Linked DNA regions of Callithrix jacchus. The protein of the gene in region 1 purifies or fractionates together with the protein of each later gene. This does not show direct contact. Links are inferred from orthologs where the notes say so. Each region holds a gene or a part of one and is shown on either strand. Other genes may lie near its edges.

Evidence for each region. Proteins that work in one complex are often made in the same cells at the same time.
Region 2: the proteins of BACH1 (region 1) and MAFK purify together in Homo sapiens (affinity purification with mass spectrometry; 6 studies listed by BioGRID and IntAct, counting the BioPlex papers as one, with this or other methods). This does not show direct contact. The link is inferred for Callithrix jacchus from reciprocal best matches to the Homo sapiens genes BACH1 and MAFK.
Region 3: the proteins of BACH1 (region 1) and MAFF purify together in Homo sapiens (affinity purification with mass spectrometry; 3 studies listed by BioGRID and IntAct, counting the BioPlex papers as one, with this or other methods). This does not show direct contact. The link is inferred for Callithrix jacchus from reciprocal best matches to the Homo sapiens genes BACH1 and MAFF.
Region 4: the proteins of BACH1 (region 1) and XPO1 purify together in Homo sapiens (affinity purification with western blotting; 3 studies listed by BioGRID, with this or other methods). This does not show direct contact. The link is inferred for Callithrix jacchus from reciprocal best matches to the Homo sapiens genes BACH1 and XPO1.
Region 5: the proteins of BACH1 (region 1) and HMMR purify together in Homo sapiens (affinity purification with mass spectrometry; 6 studies listed by BioGRID and IntAct, counting the BioPlex papers as one, with this or other methods). This does not show direct contact. The link is inferred for Callithrix jacchus from reciprocal best matches to the Homo sapiens genes BACH1 and HMMR.

The regions. Positions count from the first base shown.
Region 1 is NC_133522.1:35,359,651-35,363,882, forward strand, and holds the start of BACH1 (transcription regulator protein BACH1), read left to right. Parts: upstream 1-1,416; 5' UTR 1,417-2,144; exon of another isoform or gene 2,145-2,265; intron 2,266-4,232. UniProt on the Homo sapiens protein: Transcriptional regulator that acts as a repressor or activator, depending on the context. Binds to NF-E2 DNA binding sites. Plays important roles in coordinating transcription activation and repression by MAFK.
Region 2 is NC_133503.1:57,496,279-57,499,796, reverse strand, and holds part of MAFK (transcription factor MafK), read left to right. Parts: intron 1-706; exon of another isoform or gene 707-848; coding exon of another isoform or gene 849-877; intron 878-1,433; coding exon 1,434-1,628; intron 1,629-2,367; exon of another isoform or gene 2,368-2,369; coding exon 2,370-2,804; 3' UTR 2,805-3,518. UniProt on the Homo sapiens protein: Since they lack a putative transactivation domain, the small Mafs behave as transcriptional repressors when they dimerize among themselves.
Region 3 is NC_133502.1:209,199,861-209,202,165, forward strand, and holds part of MAFF (transcription factor MafF), read left to right. Parts: intron 1-994; 5' UTR 995-1,257; coding exon 1,258-1,337; intron 1,338-1,455; coding exon 1,456-1,522; intron 1,523-2,032; coding exon 2,033-2,305. UniProt on the Homo sapiens protein: Since they lack a putative transactivation domain, the small Mafs behave as transcriptional repressors when they dimerize among themselves.
Region 4 is NC_133515.1:52,634,807-52,638,324, forward strand, and holds part of XPO1 (exportin-1), read left to right. Parts: intron 1-668; coding exon 669-803; intron 804-1,919; coding exon 1,920-2,103; intron 2,104-3,006; coding exon 3,007-3,113; intron 3,114-3,518. UniProt on the Homo sapiens protein: Mediates the nuclear export of cellular proteins (cargos) bearing a leucine-rich nuclear export signal (NES) and of RNAs.
Region 5 is NC_133503.1:26,276,113-26,279,630, forward strand, and holds part of HMMR (hyaluronan mediated motility receptor), read left to right. Parts: intron 1-3,220; coding exon 3,221-3,383; intron 3,384-3,518. UniProt on the Homo sapiens protein: Receptor for hyaluronic acid (HA). Involved in cell motility. When hyaluronan binds to HMMR, the phosphorylation of a number of proteins, including PTK2/FAK1 occurs.

The sequences.
Region 1 (4,232 bases):
TCCCATGTGTCTGTAAGAACTCCAATCCTTCTTTCATGGTGTGTTTCCAAGTGTCCTTTCCTCGTGTTTCACTAAGTATCTGCACTTCCACCATGAACTCAGGCAGCCTGGGATGTGAAGTACCTCTTACCTCTGGACTGCTGGGTTCCTCTTCCCAATTAAGACCCAATGCAAATGTCACCTCCTCCAGGACCGCCCCCCCCCCCCCGTAATTCTAGGTCATAATGTATCACTTCACCCCTTGCACTCCCATCCAACTTCACGTATGTGATTTTTCTCATGTATTTTGGAGGTAACTCAAACGTCCCCAAGTCCCACAGCCTGTGGGTGCAAATGCGGTCGTGTTAGTGCTAATACCTGATTATTTATCTTGGTATCCTTTTTGCCCCAGGAACTCCAGGGCTGTCTTCTTGTTGCTGTCTCCAAAGCTAACAACAAAATCCCTTCACACAAATCGTCCTTTGGCTACAGGCCTCAAGGTCCGTGCCATCTCGCTGTAACCCTTGTGGGGTTGGCGTGCCCAGACCCCTCCACTGCGCGTGCACCCCTCTCTGCTGACGGCCCGTGCTTTGAACCCCAGAGGTGTTAAATGGCTTGGGAACATAATTTTAAAACTGACAGTTGGATAAACACCAGAAAAAGCACCAAAAGATGACAGTGGAACCCAGGCTCGAGATGGGCCGGCTGACACTACTGGGCGCTGAACCTGGCTGGAAGCTTCCTGGCAGCGACACTGAAAAGGGAACACCTGTCTTGGGCGCCCTTGTTTCACTGACAGTCAGAAGTAGAGCAACTGTTAGACGCTCTCCACAAAAACCTGGACGCACTTCACATGTGCCCACCAGCAAGCTCAAGTACCCTGTGAAGCTGGGCGTCCGCCACCCCCAGGGCAGGCAGCCGAGGGGCTTTCAAGGGGGTAAAGCGAGCCTTGTGGGGCCAGCGCCCGTTCTCCCTCCTGCTGTCCGCGGGCACCCTGGCAAGCTGCGCCTCTGCTGCATTAGGGCGTCCTGCAGTTCCTGGGACAAGGGGGCGCTCGGCTTTCCGTCCTGCCCTCAGAAGGGAGAGGAGAGTCGGTCCTCGAGTGGAAGTCAGCTCAGGCTGCGGGCTGTGCAGCGCGCGGAGGTCCAGGAACCTCACCGCCCCCTCCCCGAGGCCCGCCCCGTCCTGGCCCTTACAACCCCTCCCTGCAACCCCCCGCGTGGGCTTCCGGCCACTGCGACCCCGGCCGGCGCTACCGCGCTCGCTCGTTCGCTGACAGCCGCCTCGAGGGCAGCGGGGCGGGGCATCGGCCCCGGGGGCGGGGCCTCCAGCTGGCGGGCGGGGTTTTGGCGCCGCGAGGTGGCGGCGGCAGAGCGGCGCAGAAGGGTGGGGGCGGCTGGCCGCGCGGAAGGAGTGAGTCACCTGACCGCTGCCCTCGCCGCCCGCCGGGTTCGCTCGCTGCAGTCAGTCGGGCAGCGCCGCGCCTCAGCTCTGGTGAGTGGCTCGGCCGTCCTGCCGGCCTTCTCCGGGAGGGTTAGCGCGGTCGGGGACGCGGGCCTGTGAGGGGAGGCCCGCGGGCAGGTCCGGGGGAGGCGCGGGCGGGCCGGGGGCGGCTCTTTCTGGGCTGGGCGGGGCGCGGGGGGGGGGTGCCTGCCGTCCGAGTCCTGGAAGTGGCCGTGACGCCGGAAGGGGCGTCCCGTCGGCGCTCGAACCTCCTTCCGCGGCCGGAGCTGTTGTTTACCCGCGCGCGCCGTACTTTACTCGGGGCGGGCGGGGGCCGGTGGCCTTGGGGTCCCTGCCTCACCCCCTCTCCCCGCCCTCGGGCGCCAGCCCGGCCCCTCGCCCGCGGCCCGCTCGGGCAGTGACACATCAGCACCGCCCTCGAGGCTGGGGCCCCGTATTGTCCTCCGTCACCTCCCACCGCTTGCCCAGCCTCGCGTTTCCCCAGCCTGGTGCCTGTCGCGCGTGCAGTCGCGTGAGAAAGGCCGAGTTTGGGGCAGGGGAGAGAAGGCCACCGTGTTGAGCTAGATTTACCGAAGACTGGCTTTGGGGACCGGAGATCCCAGGACTCCCTTTGTTGGAGTTTTGCCCACGCTTTGTAATTAAGCCTCGCACAATATGGTGAGAGTGGGCGTTGATTCTGGAGACACCAGCTTTGTGCTCGGGTAATGTAACACGAGTGCCGTTGCTCTCTCATTCTACACGGCTGTTGCATGTCATTGAGTAGAATTGTGCGGAATGCTTTTATGGAGTGAGGCTTCTGCGTAAAATGTGTGCTGATTCCAGGTAAAGTGTAGTAGTAATTGTGAAAGAACGTGTATGGGAAGAACAAGCTACAATGTCATGCTTGGAGGAACAAAGACTGTTTTTGTTTTTGTAGGGTGCTGTGCTTTTTGAAGAATTATCTAGGTGTAGGGACTGTTGCCCATGGAGGATGCTATGGGAATTTGTTCATATATTTGAACCCTCTTTACATCCCAGAGGGTTTGCATTGAAGGCAATTCAGAAGGATAAAGGGTGGAAATCCCAGTGTGTTAGTGGCACAGCGCTTGAGCGCTTCACGTAGTCAAGCAGAGAAATGGGAAGAGGCCGGCTTCCTTCCTGGTCTTTGGGTAGTGGTGCAAGGGCTGGGCTGGGCTAGAAGGCACTTGCCACTTCTGCCTTTGGACATCTTAAAGTAGCCCAGGGAAAAAAAGGTTCCTGGTGAGTCAGCTTGGAGTAGAGTAGCTTTGGTGTACTGATTCTTGTATTGTTTTTTAACCCATGGTTCTGTCAAGTGGTTTACTATTGTTGAGTATGTTGGTTGGTTAACAAGGTAGGATGACTCTAAAAAAGTTGGGTTGCTGAGTCATTCGCCCCAGCTTGAGAGGTAATTGGAAACAGCTGGTGCAGATTCTCTAATCACATGCCTCCACTATAACAGGCCAAGAAGCGCTCTAGAGGGGTTGCTTCAGAAGGCTGAAGGGGACCCAGCTGGGTTGTTTTGATACAGGTATTCAGTGAAGTGGAAGAGCACTCTTAGGCAGTGGCCAGTAGCACTGAGGTGGTGTTTAAACACAGAGCCTTGTTAGCTGAAGTCTGAGAATAAATTTGCACTGGAGAGAGCCAAAACTTGGGAAGAAATTGGCAGCTAGGAGTAATCCAATAAACAGTATTGTAACAAAAATATTTACTACTCTTACTGGACTGAATTTCCTTTTTGTGGTTTTGTTATGTGGTCTATAAGTTTCAAGCAGTGAGCCTAATTTGTGCTTCACTACACAGAGCGGAGTTGCTCTGTTTTTCATGGCCCTTGGCTTTTTATGCATACACAAAAAATTTCAGGAGTCAGAGGAGGGTAAGCGCAATATGGGTGGAATTAACAGGTTGTATCGGGTCAAGTCTGGAAAGAGCTGTTTAATGAATGGCCAACCATATATACCTGTCTCATTGTCTTGATTGTATGACACTACTGTCTTTACACCTTGTGTCATTGCTTCTTGCTTTAAAAAGGAGCACACAACCCACACACAGTTTAGGAATGGGAAATGTAGAGCTGGGAATTTGGCCCTTACCTTTGGTGAAAAAAATGATTTCTACTAATGGTAGTTCATTTAAAACATTTTGTATTGGGAAAAACTATTTATTTTGTTACTTTAAGTCTGGGACTAGAGGAGATTAGAAATCATGAATTTTTTAAGTATTAGTGCCTCTAAGGTGGGGTGCAGGGGAGGTTCACTTGGAAATAATATATTAAAACTTTTAAAATGTCTTTTAAGAAAGACATTAAGCTTGAAGATACATTATGTGCATATTATATAATGTGTGTACATGAGCCCACTTCTTTTTTATTGGGGAGCATAGTCCATTCATCACCGTCAGTAACATTTTTTCAACAACTAGAATGCTTTTTCTTTTATGGTTTCCTCCTAAGAGTTCTTTCAAAATGTTCTTAATTATTCCATTTAAGTTTTATAGGTCTATTCTCTGTGCATTTTACTTTAAAGATTAGAAGCTTGAGTATAAACTTCTTGTTACATTGTGGATATTGGGGATGGAAATACAAAAAATACAAAATTTCATTTGATAACCTCTATATTGAATTTGGAGACAAGCTCACAGTTGGTTTGTTTAAATGTACTTGATCTGAAGTGCAGTGATATGTAAAAAGGTGCAATGGAACACTTGAAGATAATCTACACATTGGAGTGTAATATGTATATCGCAAATTTTGTGAAAATTACTTTGTACTGTTACTCCTTGAAGTCTTCTTT
Region 2 (3,518 bases), on another chromosome or scaffold:
CAGAGGGGCCTGGAGCCCACCTGGCCTTCTCCAGGACCGGCTGGTGTCGTCCTGTGCTGTCTACGTCAGCACCCTGAGAGCAGCTGGCCCTGGCAAGGGCAGCGGGCTCTGCAGCCTGGTGTGGGACCATCTAGTCTGTGCCGTCCTCTGGTTGTGGGGGTGGGTAGGGTGCAGGAGTGGAACCCCAGTCGGAGGCAGGGCTGGATGGTGGAGGGATTTGGGCCCGAGGCTCCCTGGCCCAGGGTGGGGGGGTCCTGGGCTGGCAGGGAGGGCAGGACGGGGTCACCCCCGCAACACTGCCATGTTGCCCAAGGACACCGCCCACCGCCATGTGCCACTCTGATGTTCCTTCTTCGGGAACCCGTGTCTGGTATTTGGGGTGTGGGAGTGGGTGCTGTGAACCCCTGTCCTACAAGCAGCCCCGCACCCTCTGCCTGCCTGTCCCAGCTACAGGGTACGGATGAGTTTGTTTACTGCCTGCCAGCCTCGTGATGTCTGTGCAGCCTGACCTGAAGTCAGGATCGTTTTTTGGGCTTCTCGGTTTCCATGACGACCATGGGGGCTGGCTCGATCCCAAGGTCGCCATGACAACTATCAGAGGGATCATGCCGGGGATGCTTTGGCTGGGTTTTTCATGAATGATTAGAATGTGTGACACAATGCAGACGTGAGGACGGTGGGGGCGGCGGCGGGGACGGCTCCCGCCAGACAGTCTAACACTCGGCAAGGCGGTGGCTCTCCACCTCCCTGGTCTCTGGCTGCGGCACCGGACCCGCTGCCCCTCAGGAGCCCCACACCCCCTCGGGCTGCAGGGTCCTTGCTTGGGGGCAGCTTAGGTGGAGGTGGTGATGTCACAGCCGCAGCGGCTGGGGCCGTGGTAGGTGACCCGTGGCCTGCAGGGAGGGTGGGGCAGGAAGGCGGCTGGGGCCTCACCCAGGCCCACCTTGGGGGAAGCTGGCGATGGCAGGGGCTCCCCAGAGGCCTCCTCTCAGGGATCCAGGCTGCGTCTGGAGCACTGGAGTCTGCCAGGGTAGGGTCGCTGTCCAGCGGGGCCTTGGGGCCAGCACAGCCGTCTTGGGGGAGGGAGGTTTTGCCAGTGGTCACTTTGGTCTTCAGGACAGAGCACCTTGTGTCACGCAGGTGCAGATGTCTTGTCCGACCTCAGGGAGAGTCACAGCAGGAAGCAGCCACTGCTGGCGCCTGCTGGTCACCCCATAGCGCCGGCGACCACAGCTCAGATCCACAGGGCAGCAGGGGGCTGCATGTGGCTATTAGGCTCTGGGGTGGGGGTCCCAGCCACTCTTCAGACTGTGCTAGAGCATGAGGTGTGGCCAGGCCACCTCCTGGAACCCTGGGCAGAGACAGAAGCTGGACCAGGATGTCCTGGGGAGCCCCTGGGGATGGGCCGGAATGGTGCCCCATCTTATTTTCAGGGTGCTGTGATCATCCATCCCAGGCTGAGGAGGTCCCTGCATGGGAGACGGCCACCCCATCCTGCACCTCTGGCCCTGACCTGCGCTGGCTTCTCTGCTTGCCCGTGTTTTCCAGCTACGAGTTCCAGAGAGCTCTGTCCTGGTGACTTTGCCCAGGTTATGACGACTAATCCCAAACCGAACAAGGCATTAAAGGTAAGGCTGACTCCAGGCAGGCACTGGCTCCAGGCAGGCCCCGTCTCAAACACAGGCGTGGGAAAGGCCCCCCAGCTTGACACCCCGGCTTCCCAGGGCTGCCCTGAGCCTGTGATGGAGGCCTCCCTGTTGCCAGGAAGAGATGGGGTGCTGTGTCTGGGGGATGTTCACAGGAGAGGTGGGGTCAGGATCAGGGATTGTGGCCCCAGGAGATGACTCCCAGGTTGTGGGCTTGGTAGGGTCTGATGCCCACCCGACAGGGCCACGTCCCCACTGGGCACTACTGCATGAGCTCATCCCCCAGCTCCAGGTGTGAGCAGTGTGGCCTCATCCTCCCATTCCAGGTGTGGGCAGCGTGGCCTCTAATGAATGGGATGTTCCAGCTCCCAGGGCCTGAGCTCATCTGTGCCCGGTGCTTCCTGCCTCTGCAACGACACATGCCTGTGGATGGGCTCAGTCCCAGCAGCAGAACCTATGTGCTCTGGGTCCTCGCGGGGTTCTGAGGCTGTCAGTAACCAGGAGTGACCAATGTCACCACTGGCTTTTCTCATTCAGAAAGGGTCCTGTGGGGCCACAGCCATCATGTGGGCTGCCTGCGTGCATGGTGTCTTGCGGTCTGAAGGCCAGCCCCAGGAGTGCACAGGCATGCAGGGGTACTGCTGAGTCCCTGACCACGCCGGTGCTGATCCCAGGCGGGCACCCCGTGTTCTCCTGCACTGACCCTGTGCTATGGCCCCCCAGGTCAAGAAGGAGGCGGGCGAGAACGCCCCAGTGCTCAGTGACGATGAGCTGGTGTCCATGTCAGTGCGGGAGCTGAACCAGCACCTGCGGGGCCTCACCAAGGAAGAGGTGACCCGCCTGAAGCAGCGGCGGCGCACACTCAAGAACCGTGGCTACGCGGCCAGCTGCCGCATTAAACGGGTGACACAGAAGGAGGAGCTGGAGCGGCAGCGCGTGGAGCTGCAGCAGGAGGTGGAGAAGCTGGCGCGTGAGAACAGCAGCATGCGGCTGGAGCTGGATGCGCTGCGCTCCAAGTACGAGGCGCTGCAGACCTTCGCACGCACCGTGGCCCGCGGGCCCGTGGCACCCTCCAAGGTGGCCACCACCAGTGTCATCACCATCGTCAAGTCCGCCGAGCTCTCCTCCACCTCTGTACCCTTCTCGGCCGCCTCATAGTGCCTGCTAGAGGCGGGGGGCGGCGGGCAGGCGAGCAGGGTCGTGCCCCTCAAGCCTGTCACTGGGACATACTCTCAACCTCCAAGTCCAAGTGCAGGCCCTTCAGGTGCAGGCAGCTCAAGCCGGGATGAAACTGGTGCAGGGCGAGGAGTGGGCTCTGGTAAGCCCAGCGGTCCACATGCACACACACGCACCCACTCACGCCTGCCCCCGGCTCCCTGCAGGATGTGTCTGTGTGTGGGAATTGGTGTCTTGTGCACGTGAGAGTCAGGTTGGATCGATGGGAATGCCTTCGGGAAGTTCCGCTGTCCCCTGCAGGGGCTTCCAGGAGACACGGCCCTGGGAGTCAGGCCCCTGTGGCTGGGCTGGCATGTGGCTCGTCTTCCACTCCTGCTGTGAACAGCTATCAACACCTGTCCTGTCACGGCCCTCCAGCTGGTGCGGGGGCCCCTCGCTGCACTGACCAACTCCACAGCCCCCACGGAGGGGCGTGGATGGTGCATCCGTCCTTCCAGCTATCCTGTTGGAGTGGCTATGAACTGCTTCTGCCTTAGGGGCCTGCGGGAGTGGGCACGTTGTGGGAGGCCGCCTGCGTGGGGTGGCATGTTTGCGTGCACGTGGCACGCCTGGCATCACAGCATTGGGGCTGAGGGGGGCAGCTTGTTGGCTTTCACCAAGGGAAGGCCTGTGGGCATGCATGGCAGAGAATGGCTC
Region 3 (2,305 bases), on another chromosome or scaffold:
CCCTCACTGGTCTAGGGCTGGCTGCCCCATCTGCCTACGGCATGCTGAGTTAGTGCTGGGCAGCCCCCAGGTAGTTGGGGAAGCTTTCCCAAAACACAGGTCTAGGTGAAAGAGGCCTGGGGAAGGGGGGACTGGCTGATGTAACTGATGGGGTGTCCGATGGACTTTGTGAAAAGGCATTAATGGTGCACATATGCTGTGTGTACTTTTCTGTATGTAGGTTATACTTTAAGAAAACTTCTGAAAAATCAGGATGGGAGTGTTGGCTCATGCCTGTGGTCCCAGCACTTTGGGAGGCTGAGGCGGGCAGATCACAAGGTCAGGAGATTGAGACCAGCCTGGGCAATATGGCAAAACCCCTCCTCTACTATAAGTACAAAAAATTAGCCAGGTGTGGTGGCACGAGCCTGTAATCCTAGCTATTCAGGAGGCTGAAGCAGGAGAACCGCTTGAACCCAGGAGGCAGAGGTTGTGGCGAGCCGAGATTGAGCCACTGCGCTCCAGCCTGGGCAACAGAGTGAGACTCTGTCTCAAAAAAAAAAAAGTTGTGAAAAATCAAACCAAATGCACATGTCCGCGCTCCATGTGGAAGAATGACCAGGAGAGGAGTGTCTGTCCATTTGGTGCACACTCATTGGGTCATCTGTTATATGCCAGGCACTCGTTTAGGCATATTGATGTCATGGAGAGACAGGCAAGGCCTCTGCCTTCGTGGGTTTCTGTTTTGGGGGAGGAGGGGTGGAAAGGAGAAACCAATTATAGCTGAGGAAGTGAGCCTGAGAAATGAGAAGCGACTGTTACAAGGGTTCACAGATGGGGTGATCTGATGTGCACAAAGAAACGTTTAGCCATAATGGTCAAAGAAGACCGCAGGCCAGGTGCGGTGGCTCACGCCTGTAATCCAAGCACTTTGGGAGGCTGAGGCGGGAGGATCACCTGAGGTCGGGAGTTCGAGACCAGCCTGACCAACATGGAGAAACTCTGTCTCTACTAGAAATACAAAAATTAGCTGGACGTCGTGGCATCCGCCTATAATCCCAGCTACTCGGGAGGCTGAGGCAGGTGAATCCCTTGAACCCAAGAGGCGGAGTTGTGGTGAGCCAAGATTGCGCCATTGCACTCCAGCCTGGGCAACAGAGTAAGACTCTGTCTCAAAAAAGAAAGAAGAAGAAGAAGACCTCTCGAGGAGGTGACATTGGGCAAAGGCCTAAATAATGAGGAGTCACTATGGGGAGATAGAACAGCAAAGAGAACATCATGTGCACAAGTCCGGAGGCTGGAATGGGCTTTAAGGAGGCCACTGTGGCTGGACCAGTGTGGAGAGAGGAAGGTGGTAGGTATGAATCCGTTCTAAGAGAGCAGGGGCCTTGAATACCAACGTAGTGAGTTTGGATTTTATTCTAAATGGGAAAACAAAAACAAAACAAAGCGACTTTTGCCTCCTTTCTACTCTAGGTCTGCAGCCCAGAGGGCACCTCCTGCAAACATGTCTGTGGATCCCTTATCCAGCAAAGCTCTGAAGGTGAGGAGGCAGCCTCTGTCAATCCCTGCCCCTGCAGAGCTCCTCATCCCAGCTTCCCCTTCTTTCCTGGAACCCCCTGGGTGGCTCAGCAGGCTTCGAGCCTTCATGATGCCAAAGTGGGGGCCACAGCCATGGATTGGGACGAGGAGGCCTGGGCTCTCGTCACAGGCTGCCTGTCCCTGGGATAGGTCACTTCCCTCTGCATCTTGTCAATGTCCCCCGGGGGCATTCAAAGGTGGTTTCCGGGCTGGGTTTCTCTGGCTGAGTCCAGGGCTTGGCGCTAGGTTAGAATCCAGGCTGAGCCCCAGGATGGCCTCCTTTTGTGTTTTCCTATCCTCGTTTGGCCCGGTTTTCCCTTCCCTGATTCCTGCTACCCTTTGGGGTTTGGGATCAAGTCCAGCCGCCACCTCAGCAGCTAAGGCGCTTAAGGAGGAACACTGGAGGTGGAGCGGCGGGGGGGGTGGGGGGGGCGTCCCCAGTCCCTGGGCCTCAGTTTCCCTTTACCTGCAGATCAAGCGCGAGCTGAGCGAGAACACGCCGCACCTGTCGGACGAGGCACTGATGGGGCTGTCGGTGCGCGAGCTGAACCGGCACCTGCGCGGGCTCTCGGCCGAGGAGGTGACACGGCTCAAGCAGCGGCGCCGCACACTCAAAAACCGCGGCTACGCCGCCAGCTGCCGCGTGAAGCGCGTGTGCCAGAAAGAGGAGCTGCAGAAGCAGAAGTCAGAGCTGGAGCGCGAGGTGGACAAGCTGGCACGAGAGAATGCCGCCATGCGCCTGGAG
Region 4 (3,518 bases), on another chromosome or scaffold:
GGCAATTCTCCTGCCTCAGCCTCCCGAGTAGCTGGGACTACAGGCACGCACCACCATGCCCAGCTAATTTTTTGTATTTTTAGTAGAGATGGGGTTTCACATTGTTGACCAGGATGGTCTCGATCTCTTGACCTCATGATCCACCCACCTCGGCCTCCCAGAGTGCTGGGCTTATAGGCATGAGCCACCGCGCCCGGCCTAATTTTTGTATTTTTAATAGAGATGGGATTTCACCATATTGGCCAGGCTGGGTCTTGAACTCCTGACCTTGTGATCCACCCACCTTGGCCTCCCAAAGTGCTGGGATTACAGGCGTGAGCCACTGCACCTGGCCTCACATTTTGGACTTTTTAATAGTTTTTGTTGTTTTTTTTTTGACATGGAGTTTTCCTTTGTCACCCAGGTTAGAGTGCAGAGGTGTGACCTTGGCTCACTGCAACTTCTGCCTCCTGGGTCCAAGCATTTCAGGCCTCCCAAGTAACTGGAATTATAGGCACTTGCCACCATATCTGGCTAATTTCTTTGTATTTGTAGTAGAGATGGGGTTTCACCATGGTGGTCAGGCTGGTCTAAAATCAGTTTCAATACATTTGTATATTGCTTGAGTGTGGGTTTTTTTTTATTAGGGTGTATAAGAATATAAAAGTTTAAATGTCTTTTTAAAATAGGTTCATACATTTTATGAAGCTGTGGGGTACATGATTGGTGCACAAACAGATCAAACAGTACAAGAACACTTAATAGAAAAATACATGCTACTCCCTAATCAAGTCTGGGATAGTATAATCCAGCAGGCAACCAAAGTAAGTATTTCTACTTTTTCTTAACGTTTTTATGGGATTGAGGAAGTCTGTGGGGTTTTGTTTTTGTTTTTGTTTTTCTGAGACGGGGTTTCACTCTTGTTGCCCAGGCTGGAGTGCAGTGGGGAGATCTTGGCTCTCCGCAACCTCTGCCTCCCGGGTTCAACCAGTTCTCCTGCCTCAACAGGAGAATTCCCCTGTGCCCAGTGAAGACTGTGTTCTTTACAAATGTATTGAATTGAGACCTTGTAACATGTATGTCTGATCCATAAGTACTTTTATCCGTGGCTTTGCACATTTAAAAAACTATCTGGACCTGGTGCAATGGCTCAGGCCTATGTTTCTAGCACTTTGGGAGGCCAAGGGGGGTAGATCACCTGAGGTCAGAAGTTCAAGATCAGCCTGCCCAACAAAGCAAAACCCTGTCATTACTAGAAACAGAACAATTATCTGGGTGTGGTGGCCCATGCCTGTAATCCCAGCTATTCGAGAGGTTGAGGCAGGAGAATTGCTTGAACCTGGGAGGTGGAAGTTGCAGTGAGCCAAGATCAAGCCATTGCACTCCAGCCTGGCCAACAAGCGGGCGGGACTTTGTCTCCAACAACAACAAAAAAAATGCTGGGCGCAGTGGGTTATGCCTGTAATCCCACCACTTACGGAGGCTGAGGCGGGTAGATCACGAGGTCAGGAGTTAAAAACCAGCCTGGCCAAGATGGTGAAACCCCGTCTCTACCAAAAATATTAAAAAATTAGCTGGGCGTGGTAGCACACGCCTGTAATCCCAGCTACTTGGAAGGCGGAGGTGGAGAATTGCACAAACCCAAGAGGCAGGGTTTTCAGTTAGCTGAGATCATGCCACTACACTCCAGCCTGGTTGACAGAGCGAGACTCCATTTCCCAAAAAGAAAAAATTATCCATGGTACAATTTTAATTCTCATTTGATCTTAAAATGGAATATATTATTTTATTCTAGATACAGACAAAAATACTTTTGTGTTCCTTTTAACATTTGGGATTATAAATGTGGTTTACGGTAGGGGAAATGTAGTGGCTTTTGCTTTAGTAATTATGTGGATAATTCTTATGTGATAAATGGAATTTGCTTTTTTTCCTCCAAGAATGTGGATATACTGAAAGATCCTGAAACAGTCAAGCAGCTTGGTAGCATTTTGAAAACAAATGTGAGAGCCTGCAAAGCTGTTGGACACCCCTTTGTAATTCAACTTGGAAGAATTTATTTAGATATGCTTAATGTATACAAGTGCCTCAGTGAAAACATTTCTGCAGCTATCCAAGCTAATGGTAGGTGATTCTGAATTCTTACACAGTGTAGTATAAATAAAGCATGGCTGGGCGTTGTGGCTCATGGCTGTAATCCCAGCACTTTGGGAGGCTGAGGGGGGCAGATCACCTGAGGTCAGGAGTTCGAGACCAACCTGGCCAATGTGGAGAAACCCCATCTCTACTAAACAAAAAAGAAATGAAAAAGTAGCAGGTCGTGGTGGCTCATGCCCTGTAATCCCAGTACTGCAAGGCTGAGACAGGAGAATCGCTTGAACCCCAGAGGCGGAGGTTGCAGTGAGCCAAGATCACACTGCTGTGCTCCATCCTGGGCAACAAAGAGCAAAACTTTGTCTCAAAAAACAAAAAAGAAAAATCATTTCCACTTTTACTTCCTTAAGTCAAACATTCAATATTTTTCACAGATTTAAATTAGACCTCCTGTTTCCCAGATGACCCTAGATATATTTAAAACAGTTGGGGTACCTTTCCCTTTTAAGATTAGTCTTAGGCAAGGGTAATTTTTTTTTTTTGGGGAGATGGAGTTTCGCTCTTGTTACCCAGGCTGGAGTGCAATGGCGCAATCTCGGCTCACCGCAACCTCCGCCTCCTGGGTTCAGGCAATTCTCCTACCTCAGCCTCCCGAGTAGCTGGGACGACAGGCACGTGCCACCATGCCCAGCTAATTTTTTGTATTTTTAGTAGAGATGGGGTTTCACTATGTCGGCCAGGCTGGCCTCGAACACCTGACCTCTTGATTCACCCGCCTCAGCTCCCAAAGTGCTGGGATTACAAGCATGAGCCACTGTACCCAGCCGGATTTATGCTTTTTAATGATAAAATGAAATTTCAACTAATGTATACCTGAGTACCACTGTATGATTTTAGTGGTAAAGTTAGATTCCATTTGATTCTGTTTTGTAGGTGAAATGGTTACAAAGCAACCATTGATTAGAAGTATGCGAACAGTAAAAAGGGAAACTTTAAAGTTAATATCTGGTTGGGTGAGCCGATCCAATGATCCACAGATGGTAAGTGAGAGATGCTTTGCTTGTGGTTTTTAGTGTTGATGCTGTGTTTTATGGAATATGTTATACTCTTTTATGTGCATTTTACTAATTTAGAGGATGTCTACTTTGTGGTTATTTTATGGCATTCTATATATTGTAGTCTTTATGTTAATATACTGACAGTTGTATTTCATCTTCAAAAGAAAGTGCTGTTAATAAGGAAGTGTGGTGATAATGTAACAAGATAGCTAAGAAGATTTGGTCATTTTATATTTCCATAGATAGGTTAGGAGGATTTAGTTAATGGAGTATAGGTGCTATTTTTGCATTCCTCTTGACTTTTTACAACAATTAATAGAGCTACAAAGTTGTCACTACTTTACCTTTTTTTAAATAAGAGATAGTTATGACAAACCCACAGCCAAT
Region 5 (3,518 bases), on another chromosome or scaffold:
AGTTGGTAAACACTTGTTTACACATTTTGGCTATTATAAATAATGCTACCATAAACATTTATGTGCAAGTTTTTATGTGGACATTTGTTTTTATTTCCCTGAGAAATAATAGGAGGGAAGTCACCAGATCATTTGATAAGTCTATGTTTAATCATTTCAGGAAGTATCAGACTGTATTCAATTGAGATTGGGTGTTTTCAGGGTGATATGGCCTTAGAAAGATCAGACTGTATTCAAAAGCGTGTCAAACCATTCTGTATTCTACCAATAGTGTATGAGGATTCCAATTTTTCCACATCGTTACCAACATTTGTCTGACTTCTTTATCCTAGTCATTGTAGTGGATATCACGTGGTATCTCATTGCGACACGACTTGCATTTTCTTAGTTGGTAATGATGTCCGTCATCTTTTCATTGCTTACTGGCCATTTGTATATCTTCATGAAAGAAACGTCTATTCAGACTCTGCTTGTTTTTAAATTGGATTATTTGTCTTTTTGTTGTGAGAATTCTTCGTCGATTCTGGACACAAGTCTCTTATGTATTATTTGCAAATATCTTCTCCCATTCTGTGCATTATCTTTTCACTTTCTTGATGATGTCCTTTGACCCACAAAACTTTTATGAAGTCCAGTGTGTCTATTTTTCCCTTTGTTTCTTGGTGTCTGTCTCCTCTGCCAAATTCAAGGTCAGGAAGATTTACCCCTGTGTTTTCTTCTAAGAAGTTTATAGTTTTAGCTCTTACATTTAGATCGTTGTTTGATCTTGAGTTGATTTTTGTATGTGGTGCGAGGTTAGATCCAGCTTCATTCTTTAACATGTGGACATGAAATAGTTCCCACACTATTTTTGAAGAGACTATTCCTTCTCCAGTTAATGGAGTTAGCACCCAATTAAAAATTCATTTAGGGCCAGGCACGGTGGCTCACACCTGTAATCCCAGCACTTTGGGAGGCTGAGGTGGGCAGATCACATGAGGTCAGGCTTGAGCCACTGCACCTGGCCAAGGACTCTTTCTTTTTTATGATTTCATTTCTTAGACGTGGGGACACGTGGATTTCTTGTTTGTTACATGGATGTTTTGCATGATACTGAGGTTTGGGGTATGACTGGTCCCATCACCCAGGTAGTAAGAATAGTACTCAATAGGTAGTTTTTCAGCCCTTGTTTAATGGCTGAAAAACACGACATCCGATTACTCTCAAAGGCATTTTTTCTCCTTTTGTCCAAATATATAAGTTATACTTTTCTATTTATTGATATGCCATGTAATGTTTTATTAGAAAGTAAATTTTTAGATTATATATTGTAGCATTTCTGGGCACAGCTCCCCCTCCTTTTGAGGCTTATTTGCTTGTTTGCTTAATAAGCAGCTCAATTATTTTAGTGAGCTTATCCCGCTACCTTTCCAGCCCCCAACAGTGTTGCGCCTCTGATGTTGCTGTTGAGGGAGGTACAGTTTTCGGTATGCCCATAATTACCCTGGGATGACACTTGCTTTGGTAGGGCAGCTTTACTCTCTTTCCCTGAACCTAGTGGCTGTAAACTCCAGTAGATGCTGACTCCTTGCTTTATTATTTTCAACAGTAACCTGGGGCATAAATTACTCTATAAACGAATCCAACCAAATTCTGACTCTTGTAGGAATTCCATCTAAGAGCAGTGCTGGGTGTTTATTTTGACTACAGAAATGCTCCTCCCAGCTGTCTTATTCCCTAGTTTTCATCTGCAAACTAACCAGTGTACTGTGTAGCCTATGTATTAAATCTCCTCCCAATTCTCTCTCACTGTAAACTTTACTGTCCTTTAATGGTCCCCAACCATTTTGGCACCAGCAACAAGTTTTGTGGAAGACAGTTTTTCCACAGACCAGGGGTTGGTAGGGATGGTTTCAGGATCAAACTCTTCCACCTCAAATCATCAGGCATTAGATTCTCATAAGGAGCATGCAACCTAGATTCCTCATGTGTGCAGTTTACAATAGCGTTCACACTCATGATAATCTAATGCCACAGCTGATCCGACAGGATGGGGAGCTCAGTGGGTAATGCTTATGCTTCCTGGCTCTGGCTCACCACTCACCTCCTGCTGTGCAGCGAGGTTCCTAACAGGCCACGGACTGGTATCCATCTGCAGCCCAGATGTTGGGGACCCCTGCTTTAGAGCACCCTTAGGTTTCAGCTTCTCCAAGCTCTGTTGCAGGTGAAGTCAGTTCTTTTGCGAAGAAATGAGGAGTAGACCTACTCATTTCTTTATGGCCTACTTCTCTTTTCCGCCTCTTTCCCCCAACAATATCTCTAAGCCAGGACTAAACCTGAAATTGGGACAATGGCACCTTTCTCTCTGAGTGACATCTCTGCCCTAGGAGCTGAGTTTTCACTGGACTTGTGGGAAAGAGATGAGGAATAGCCTCAGGCCCTCTTGACTCACCTCTCCTGGTGTAGAACCATCCCCTCATCAGCCAAAGCAAAGGTGATCAGGGGCCCTGCATTTTCAACACACTGTGCCCAGAGTGAGCTTCTGTTTCATGAATGGGGCTGAGTGAAGGAAGGGATCCCCCACGTTACAACTACATTTGTCTAAGATGTAACCGCAGCAACAGGGAGCTGGGGACAAAATGAGAAAATCTGATATCCTGCTCCTCCTGGGAGGAAAGCCTCTGACTCGGAGTTGGAGGAAAAGAAGGCCCTGTGTTCTTGGCTGTTGCTATCTGGCAAGGACTCTGCCTTGCTAAGCTGGGTGTGGGAAGGCAGGAAGGAGTTTTGGCTTAAATACTGCAGACTCTCATCCTTTTCACCAAGTTTTTGCAGGTTTTCTTGAATAGATGTTTCTTCATTTGCTGTTTTTTCCTTAGGCTGATTTTCAGAGGCTTTAACTGGTCAACATTTTATAACTTTTAGTTTCACTAGGGAACAGGTCAGCAGAACTTTCATGCCGGAAGTCCATCTCAGCAATTAATTAATTTTGAGTTGAACTTTTATAAGAAAAATAGCTTTGTAGCTGTAGAGGGGCAAGGAGATTTAGAAGACTGTATCTCCTTGGTCACAGGTGTTTCAAGTCATTTTGTAATTCAGTCTTAAAGGCTGTGTCTAGTAGTGATTTTTGCCATTGGGTGTGACAATACAGAAACAACTTTGAAATTTGCTCACAACATTGGTAACACATTTCACTGACATAATCTTTAATAATTGTTTATTACCTATTATTTTTCTTACCTAGGAAGTATCAAAACTCCGCTGTCTGCTTGCAAAAAAAAAACAAAGTGAGACAAAACTTCAAGATGAATTGAATAAAGTCCTAGGTATCAAACGCTTTGATCCTTCAAAGGCTTTTCATCATGAAAGTAAAGAAAATTTTGCCCTGAAAACCCCATTAAAAGAAGGTAAGACATGAATAAATGTATAGAAGTGTCCTCTTCCTTTGGATTTGCTTTCACAGCATTTAGCAAGTCATCCATTTTATGAACTGTGAAAATTTGTTGACACCTTCTGATGTAAAAGCAGTTCTTAATGAGATT